Linked DNA regions of Sus scrofa. The protein of the gene in region 3 purifies or fractionates together with the protein of the main gene of each other region. This does not show direct contact. Links are inferred from orthologs where the notes say so. Each region holds a gene or a part of one and is shown on either strand. Other genes may lie near its edges. The genes, in order: CD44, OTUB1 and SLC7A11.

Region 1 (3,656 bases), on a different chromosome or scaffold from region 3:
CTTATTTGAGAGGGAAAAGAATTACATGCTCATGCTGGGTGCATGCCTAACTTAATTGAATAAGTCATTTTTGGTCATCTCTTTGCCATCACAAGAGAAATGGTGCCTGCTCATTAACAGTAGACTAAATCATCAAGTTTTAAGTGTGCACCATAACTAGAAGAAGTTACCCACCAGCCCTTCACCAAAAGTAAAATTCACCAATCCATCACCAATAAAAGAGAATAATTTCAGAGCAAAGACATCAGTATACAGAAATTATTCACAAGATGGGTAAAACCCTGCTACATAGGCAGCATATATTAGTTGAATCAAATGGAATTGCTAATACTGGACTACTTTTACTCACAAAAATATCCGTTTCATATGGTTCACTAAATATGTCACAAGATCAGGAACAAGAAAAAGAAAGAAACTCTACCATAACAACCAAGTCACAAAAAACAGAGATTACATGGGCACATAAAAACATTATTTAAAATAAATGTTGACTTGCACTAGAATGATGATGTGTGATAAAAACCATCCCCATGTCACAAATCCATCTCATCGTAGCCTACACAGAAGTGATCCCTAAGTATGAAAGTATGTGTTGCTTCTCCCTCTAGAAAGCAAACCAGATAACAAACGGCCAAATTACCTGATGAGGAAAGATCAACATTAGAGGTGGAATCTCCAACAATAGTAACTTCAGTAACTCCAGGGGACCCAGTCTTGGTAGGGGTCACCAGGATGAGGGTTCTATATTCATTTGTGTCTGGAGAATGAAGAGTATAACCTTCCACGGACGTAGCTGAGTCTTCAGGAAGACTTCCACCTCTTCTTCCACTTCTGCCATCATTCCTATCTGTGCGGAGGTGGAATCAATGGTAAACCCACACCCGTAAGACCACTACCCATCATGTGCTGGTTTTCAGAATGTGCAATTGCTGCAAAAGCTTTCCACTTGTTCTTCGTGAACACGGAGCGGTGAGCAGTGCAGTTTGCTACACTACTGAACAGAATCGATATTTTGCAATCAACACCAACTGGGTATCACTCAATGGAAGAGATTTTGGTGATCCTAATACTCAGAAGAGACATTTGGTGCAACACCTGCCTGGGTTTATTAAAATAAGGTTTATGCCACCAGAACTGTTACTTTAACGTCAATGCAGGTACTAGATAATCTTGACTATTATCAGCTGGATCCACCTTTGATGAAGTGGAAGAAACACGTACGTTACTGAATTGAAAGGCAAAATTTTGCTACCTGCCATTGGAAGCAAATGCAAAGCTTCAAAGACATGAGCCTTCGATTATTCTCTCCTTTGCCAGAGGGCACTGCTTCCTAGTCACCAGCACTATGGATTTATGGCCCAGAGGATAAATGGCAAAATAATACGAATGGAAGGAAAATAAGTGATATCATTCAGATCTTTTCCCCAATTATAAATCATATATAAGTGATTCGTTATTTTTAAATGAAGACACTAACTCTAGAGTTTGAGAAACCCAACCTTAAAAACATTTAAAAAATTAAGTTTGTACTTAATGCACAGAGGCTTCTATGAGATCTACAAAGCAAAGAAGGCAGAGAACCATCACCAGCCACACCTTCTGATCATAAGGAACAGCTTAACAACAGCCAGCTGATATAACTCCACCAAAGACACTGCAAAAGCACCGAGTTTATTGATTTTTTTTTCAATAGCTGAAGCCACCTGGGCTTTACAGTCCTTACTGCTAGATGTTGGAGTAGCAGCCACTGGATGGTCTTTGTCTTCTTCCAAGCCTCCATGTGATGTAGAAGAGCTCTGAGTATCACTCTGCTCTGTTTCAGTAAAGGATGAATCCAGTATTAATTTGAAGCCATGAAATAAACCCTCTGTTATCTGCTGATGGGGGTGGGGGAAATTTAGCTAGAGTCTGGTCATGGGTAGATACACAGGAATACCAAAGTTTGTGTACACCATCCTCCTTGATTGATTGACAGAAACGCACCAGGATATTCTGCCTTGCCCCCAACTGGCTTTGTCTTCCAGTATAATCAACAAGATAGAGGGCCAAGGTGAAATCACAGCCAAAACTTTGTTTCCCCCCCCACCACCGGATCATCCTGGCCCAGTGATAGCACTGCTTCCTGTTATTCCAGAAAACCAGACAACACACAGAGATAGAGAAAGGAACGTTTGGATCCAGTGTTCCCACCAACGTCAAGAGCACCTTAGCTGTGTGTCAGGAAGTGTGAGTGTAGCGAAAATAAACACCATCACAGCAGGTAGAACACTTGTAGCCACAAAAGAGGAAGACGTTCATGTAGAATAACCTGCTCAAGTAACTCAGATCAAATTTATAGAAGGAAACACTTAAGTCGCTTCAAAGAACATGAACTTCAGTTACCATGGTGCTCAAGTTTTAGGCTTTTGATCTCATCTCTGGATGAGGATTCTCATCACGGCCCTGAAACGCCAGGAGATGCTTGTCTGGGCAAACGCAGGGCCCTCACTGATAGGTTATCCATTTCAGGTTGAACCCTTGCCCATGTCCGAAATGGCTCTGACTGCTTTGAGTTCATTTCTTGAGCGTTCCTCTAAGAAAGGTACTGACCTCTGAGTTACAGGTGCAAGTATTCCATAGGGCACACCACGCCGCCAGGTCCACCACCAAGTGAATGCTACAACGGGAGAAAGACATTCACCCAACACCAAACCCAACATCAGAACAAACATCAACAGGGACATAAAGTAAGAATACAAGCCCCTCCATCGGCGGGGACCATATTTAAGCTTCTCTGCATCTCCTCTAATGCTTAACACTATGCTGTTTACATTCCTGACAATCAAGACACGCTTCCTGATTTTTCCCTTTGTCTCAAAGGGCTCACAGGAAAAAAACCTCTGCCCATTACAGGCAGCTAGCAGTGAAAGGAGGCCCTCTTCATTCTAGATTTCTTTCATCTCTGTCAAGAAAGTATGAATGATGGTGATCTCTAGGATAGCTGTATCTGTAGTTAGAGTGGACAGTAAATCTACTGGAAGTTTCACATTGTTTCTACCATATATTTAGTAATAGGGAGAGACATGAGCCCGTGTTCTTCTTTTGCTCCCAGGCCTGCCGCTTAGGTCACCTGTCAGCATGACTTGCTTCTCTGGGTGATGATTTCCCTACTCTCACGATTATCTGGCCCCCAGACAGCTTTTTACGACCATCGAGACAATCCTACCTCTCTTCAGCCTCGAGGAGAGATGGGAATCAAAAGGAGATGGTCCGTTAAACCATAGAGAACCCACTGTCCTCACCGTGGTCGTGGATTTCACGGACATAACTACTCAGAGAAGGAAAATCAAGAGGAATGGAGCCCCACAGCCTTTTTATTTGTGTGTTAACATGAAGTCATGGAATCTGGAAAGCACCAAGAGGAAGGGATGGTCAGATTTAAAGAACCACCAAGAACACACAATGAAGATGGCTTTTACGGCCTCAGCTTTTACAAGCCAAGCCACACCGCACCGCGTGGGCCATCCCGCCACCAATGAGAGCAAGAGCTGAAGCAGGAAGACAGGTCAAGAGGGAGACTGAAGGCTGTTATCCTTACGAGCTGTCACTGAAAGGGTCCTGTCCTGTCCAAGTCTTCCACCAAACCTGTGTGTGGATCTGCAGAAGGCTGAAGCGTG
Region 2 (2,420 bases), on a different chromosome or scaffold from region 3:
AAGTGAAGAGAGGAAGGCAACGCAGACACCGCGGCCCAAGCAGAGGGGATGCAAAGCAGGCACAGGCAGGGGGTGGTGGGGTGGGGGAAGAACGGGGGCCTGGCCAGCCCCGCTAGACTCCGGGAAGGACAGACTTGAGGACAGCCCTCCCCCGCCCGGAGGGCAGCACCTGGGGTGCACTAGGGTGGCCCAGCTCCTCCGCCTACCCTGAGCCAGGCCGCACCCTCAGGCCAGCCCTCTCCACCATGCAGACCCCTGATGGAGAGCAGGTGGCCGGGGAGGCCAGGGCAGCAGGGCGGAGGCGTGGCCTATGAGGGCAGAGCTGGAAGCCTTGGTGGTCCTGGGGCTCTGGGCCAGTCTCCAAGGAACTTCCAAATTCCCCTGGAAGGCCTGGCTGGCTAAGGAGGGCAGGGGCAGAGGCCTGAAGGGAAGGAAGCAGAGGCCCAATAACCAGGAGGGGTCCCCAAGAGGCCTAGCCCCCTCAAAACTACTCCTGGCGGGGAGGCTTGGGGGTGGACAGGTGGAAGGCTGAGAGGAAGCCACCTGAGGGGGGTGGGGCAGCCAGACAGAGAGCAGCCAGGAGGGCAGCAGCAGAGCAGGGACACGCACACACGCGGCTCACCACCAGCGTCCCCTTTAATAAAACATGGAAGGTCGTGTGACAGGGAAGGGCGTGGGGGGTGAAGTACGACCATTTACAACCACAAAAAAAACCTCTGTACATGTCTAGTGCCTGGCAGAGGGGAGGGCAGGCAGGGCGGCGGCAGGCCGGGCCAGCCCTATTTGTAGAGGATGTCGTAGTGTCCAGGCCGGTAGAGAAGGTAGACCTTGGGCTCGGAGCCCTCGGGGAAGATGTGGGGGTTGGTGGTGCCGCCCTCGCCGCGGTCCATGTACTCCACCTGGATGGAGACGCTGAGCGCCTGGGCCAGCGCGATGATGTGGATGTGGTCGCTCTCCTTGCACATGGGCTCCACCTCCTGCAGCACAGGGGCCGCTCAGGGCCTGGGTCTTGGCGCCTCCGCACCCCCAGCCACCCGGTGCACCCCCGGGCCCCGAGGCTCCCACCCTGAGGCCCCAGTGAGTCTGGGGAGCGGGGAGGGGGCAGCACCTGCTGGCAGAACTCCTTGACGGTCCGCCCACCCTCGATGAAGTGCTCGAAGAACTTGCTCTCGCGCTGCAGGTAGCCCGAGGTGAGCAGCCGCAGGTAGACCACCAGGTAGTCCGAGGTGCTCTGGTCGTTGAAGGAGGCCAGCAGGTCGGCCACTGAGGTCTGCTTCTCCACCTGCTCGATTAGGTCCATGAACTGCCGCCCAAGGGGGACAGAGAGCAAGTGAGGGAGGAGATGGGCCGATGCTGCCTCGGCCAGGCCCCCCGCCCTCCACCCGGCCGAGAGGCTCACCGTGTTGTGGAAATCCTCAATTGTGAATTCGGTGAAGCCCTGGGACACCAGGTCCTCTTTGCTCTTAGCAGACACAGCCTTGAACCTGCAGCCGGGAGGGAAAGAGAGGCTGCGCGGGCTCCTCGGCCAGCAGAGAGGCCAGCTCAGAGGTGGGGGCCCGGGCAGCACGGGAACCGCACCTCCTGGTCCCCAGGAGGATGGAGGGAGCCCCTCGGGCCCTTCCTAGGACCCTGCCCCACCCGCCTCTTTGTGCTCGAGGGCCCGCCCTCCTCACCGCTGCAGCTCCTTGCTGTCATCCAGCAACGCCTCCAAGTGGGAGAAACCGAAAGCACGATAGAAGCAGTTTCCATCAGGCCTGGTCTTGCGGATGTACGAGTACTTTTTGTGGAGGTCCTGCGGAGAGGCAGCCCCCGCCCCACCCGGGCCCATCAACATCAGGCCAGAGCCAGGGCGGGCCGAGGAAACCGCCCTGACGAGGTTGCTCTACAGCAGGTGGCAACTAAGCTCCAAGCAGCCACCTGCCATCCTTGGCTGCTGACTCTGGTGATGCTACCAGGAGCCCCCAAAGCCTCAGGAAACTGACTTCTGGACACATAGGTTGCACGGGTCACCAGCGGCTGGGCAAGTGACTGAGTCCTTGATCAAAGCAGCTTTTCCAGGGAAGGACCTTTCACACTTGGAGAGCTCCAGGGCAGCGTGGTGCCCATGGCACAGCCTGGGGCTGGACACAGCCTCCCTCACCTCCTTCTAAGCTCTACCCCGCCCACCCTCAGGCACTGGCTCCATCTTTTCTGGTTCCCTCCCCAAACTCAGTGAAATTTCTTCTCTGTCTGTTGAACCTCCCTGTAGGAGTCAAGGCCTCACTCCCTCAGCCTAGGCGCCCTCCCCTTCTCCCCGACACCCATCTCATACCTTTTCTGTTCTCTTCAAACCCCCACCCACCTTGACCTTGCTTCCTTTTGGACTGAAGACTTCCCCTGAGAACCCCAGCCCCCACGGCACACCTGCCCATGGCCTTCAC
Region 3 (3,656 bases):
AATCGGAGCTGTAGCTGCCAGCCTATACCACAGCCACAGCAACTCGGGATCCAAGCCGCGTTTGCAACCTACACCACAGCTCACGGCAACACCGGATTCTTAACCCACTGAGCAAGGCCAGGGATCAAACCCACAACCTCATGGTTCCTAGTCAGATTTGTTAACCACTGAGCCATGACGGGAACTCTGACCATGGGTGTTTTCAACGGAAGAGAAATATTAAAGTACCAAGGTATCTTGTTACCCCTCAAGTCATTCATTACTTTGCCCATGTGAAAGACCAACTAAGTAATGTGAGTCCAATATTACAAAGAAATATATGAACCCACTAAAAAAGCTTCCAGAATACACCTGGGTAATTTCTTCTGTAAACACATATACACTCTGTGAAGTAGCTCTCTTGTGATTAAAGTAGCATTTGATTATGAACTACTTGAGAATAGGAACCGTAGCTCACTCCACCATAAATCTCTTTAACTTGGTGTAAATCATTCAGTAGCAGTTTGTAGAATGAATGAATAAATGAATGAACACTGTATTGGTGCTACTATTGCAAAAGGAAGGATAATGGTCATCATAAGACCAAAGTTTGGCTAATTAGCCAATACAATGAGCCAATACATGACTGAAGAGGGACTCAAGTCCAGTTTGAGTCAGGCTCCAAAGCCTGCCCTCCTCACAGGCCAGCACTCTAAATAAGTAGCATATTCATTTGAAAGCTGAGCATGTTGTATTCAGCATATTACAACCTTAATCTTTCAGTCACTTATTCAAAAAGAGTTTAATATTTGACAATCAGGGCACTGAAATAAGTAGTATAAGGGTTACAAAAAGTACTTGAAATCCTTGCAGTTTTAACAGGGAAATGGCACAGATTCCTAAAATATTAAAGTAAGAATATAAGATACCATGTTCAGTGCCAAATGAGAAGCAGAGACTGCATTTTTTCAGAATAATTAAGAGAGGAAAGAAATACTATAAACTAGAGTGAACAGGTAATTAATGGTGGAAAAGATAGAATTTAAATTGACCTTTGAAGAGTAATATTCGGATTATTAGTAAGGAGTGGAAGACACATCCCAAGCAAATCTGAGATTTTAGAAAAGGAACAAAATAGCTCTTTATAATTATCTCATTATAATACGTTTTAAATAATGCACAATTGTTTAAGATGAGAACAGACTTAACAAAGAAGTAAATACTTTTCTAAACTCTTTGCTAAAAAAGAGACTCCTAGGGCTATAAAAACCAAGATTAGTGTTAAGTCAATACTTATTAGCTCTGCATTAGCCACTTAGTCCAAATGACAGGATAAAAGCTCACAGGAGCTCTCAACTGTGTAGGTCTGATAAGTTTACAGTAAGAGCAAGTTTCTCTAGTTACTTTTGTTAAACTCTGTAATCAGAATGTGCTAGGCACATTTCATGGAAGCTGTTTGCCTTAAGGATACGCCAAACTTCTCATGTGACATCATAAGTTTCCCACAAAGTTGGAGGAAATGTGCTATTCAGAGTGACTTAGCATTATTTGGTTTGATTTTAAACCAAGACAATCAGGAAGAGGAACATATTTTTACAACAATAAAATCAAAGCTTTTCGCTACTATAGTTCACTGGTTTGTTTAACGTGAGGATATGAGTCATTTATGACAAGTGAAGTTTTGTTTTTTTCCGTAATATAAAAGTTAGTGACATACTAAGTGGTGAGGAACAGAAGTTTCCTAGTCATGCAACGTGAGTAAACTAAAACGACTTAATAGTGTAATGTACAAGAAGAAAAACCCCAGTTCCTAGCATAACACTTAATTTTGTCTAATTATGATTTATAATCAAACAAAATGTCTGATTTATCAAGGCAGATTTTGATGCTTCACATTCTTTTCAGGTCAACATCTTTCCTGAAAATGTCATAGAGAATAACTGAATACTAACACAGAGTAGATGCTTTAAAAGTTTGGCATAGGTAGCAAACTACTGCCAGTGGCAAAACTGCATGAAATAAAAACCTTGAGAAAGGTATTTCATTACAGATTTTATGTCTGAAAGTAGATGTGCTTACCACATAGTCACATGACATGCATATTTCTAATTACATGAAATAATCAAGGTGATTCAAAACAGCATATAATGAGTAAGTTTATTTTTCCTTAATGCTTTCTATCTAGGTTCTTACCGTATTATGAGCAGTTCTACCCAGACTCGCACAAAAGCTGGTAATGGTCCGAAAACTTCCAGAATATATGTGTAGTGACCACCAGATTTCTTTATGCTTGTTCCCAACTCAGCATAGGACAAGGCTCCTGTGAAATATTTATAATAAAAAGACGCAAAGTTAAAATATTACCAAGTCATCCAGAAGTAGAATGCATTCAACGTTTATGTTGTGTGAAATGCTACTACACCTTTGGTCTGAATAACATCCTTTTTCAAAATAAATAGCAGTCATCCAATTCCAAAGAGTCTCCAAATTCATCTTGTTAACTTCCTCACATTTGAGATCTAGTTCATTCTACTCAAACAATGTAATTTTACTTAAAATAGCAAAGACAAACTTCTAAAACAATATCATATTATGAAGACTTTTCAATCTCGAACCTGGGAACAAGGGAAAAAGTGAAGACAAATGCCAAAAATACTAACATATTTTTTGAAGAACATAACTTCACATCAAGACAAGGAATTATCCCAAAAGGACTTCATTCTATTAAGATTCCTTTTAATAAATGATATTTCTGGGGTACATCAAAATAAGTAAGATTTATCTGCTTTCCAGAAAAGTATGGACTCAAGGCCTTGTAAGGCTTTACTTCATTTGTGGGATATGTTTTGCTTGTCAACAAAATGAATTTTAACTCAGATATTCTACTTTTAGGAAAGTTTTTCCTGGATGTTTTTGAAGAATATACTCTGGGTGGTTGAAATAACATAAAAACCTCTTTAAAAAGAAGAGCTATAACATTAATGTACATTAGGTAAAATTAACTACAGATCAAATATTAACATTTAGCAATAAAATTCACATGGACTTGAGCAAGTTACATAACCTCCCAAAACCTCAGGTTCATCATCTATAAAATTAAAGATCATAATTATTACCTCATTAGAGGTTTGTATGTATAAATATGAAAATATGTGCCAAGGACAGTACCTGGGCCTGACACACAGAAAACACCTCATGAAATATAGCAATACGTATTGATGTGAGCAATTATAAAGAAAATGGAAAATATATCTTGATGTTATGTGAAAAGTTCTATCCATACTGCTAAGTACTTAAATGTAAGACCTAATTTCTGCCTTAGCTACTTTGGAGACTAAAAGTGTGGCAAATTATTACTAATCAGTAAAGCTTCAGGTAGAACAGTCCAACATTAATATATTTTGGATATTCCACAAAATCTTACTGTTATTTATCCTATTCTTAAAACTAGTACTGTATCTGAATCACCTGGGAGGACTTTTATTTAAAATAAGAACAAATGCTAAGGCCATATCCCAGAACTACTCTCTAACCAAGAGAGACCAGAGTCTCCAGTAGAGGCATCCAAGTAGGTCCAATATTTTAAAATTTGCACAGCTAATTCTAGAGTAACTAGCCTACAGATTGATATTTGCAGATCACCGATACAGTTTGTCTAGTTTATAACTCATTTTAAC

What was found.
Region 1: the proteins of SLC7A11 (region 3) and CD44 purify together in Homo sapiens (affinity purification with western blotting; 3 studies listed by BioGRID and IntAct, with this or other methods). This does not show direct contact. The link is inferred for Sus scrofa from reciprocal best matches to the Homo sapiens genes SLC7A11 and CD44.
Region 2: the proteins of SLC7A11 (region 3) and OTUB1 purify together in Homo sapiens (affinity purification with western blotting; 5 studies listed by BioGRID, with this or other methods). This does not show direct contact. The link is inferred for Sus scrofa from reciprocal best matches to the Homo sapiens genes SLC7A11 and OTUB1.

What each region holds. Positions count from the first base shown.
Region 1 is NC_010444.4:25,814,558-25,818,213, forward strand, and holds part of CD44 (CD44 antigen), read right to left. Parts: coding exon 3,591-3,656; intron 1,831-3,590; coding exon 1,724-1,830; intron 848-1,723; coding exon 641-847; intron 1-640. UniProt on the Homo sapiens protein: Cell-surface receptor that plays a role in cell-cell interactions, cell adhesion and migration, helping them to sense and respond to changes in the tissue microenvironment.
Region 2 is NC_010444.4:8,087,907-8,090,326, forward strand, and holds the end of OTUB1 (ubiquitin thioesterase OTUB1), read right to left. Parts: intron 1,793-2,420; coding exon 1,674-1,792; intron 1,485-1,673; coding exon 1,400-1,484; intron 1,304-1,399; coding exon 1,109-1,303; intron 978-1,108; coding exon 780-977; 3' UTR 622-779; downstream 1-621. UniProt on the Homo sapiens protein: Hydrolase that can specifically remove 'Lys-48'-linked conjugated ubiquitin from proteins and plays an important regulatory role at the level of protein turnover by preventing degradation.
Region 3 is NC_010450.4:88,611,031-88,614,686, reverse strand, and holds part of SLC7A11 (cystine/glutamate transporter), read right to left. Parts: intron 2,300-3,656; coding exon 2,173-2,299; intron 1-2,172. UniProt on the Homo sapiens protein: Heterodimer with SLC3A2, that functions as an antiporter by mediating the exchange of extracellular anionic L-cystine and intracellular L-glutamate across the cellular plasma membrane.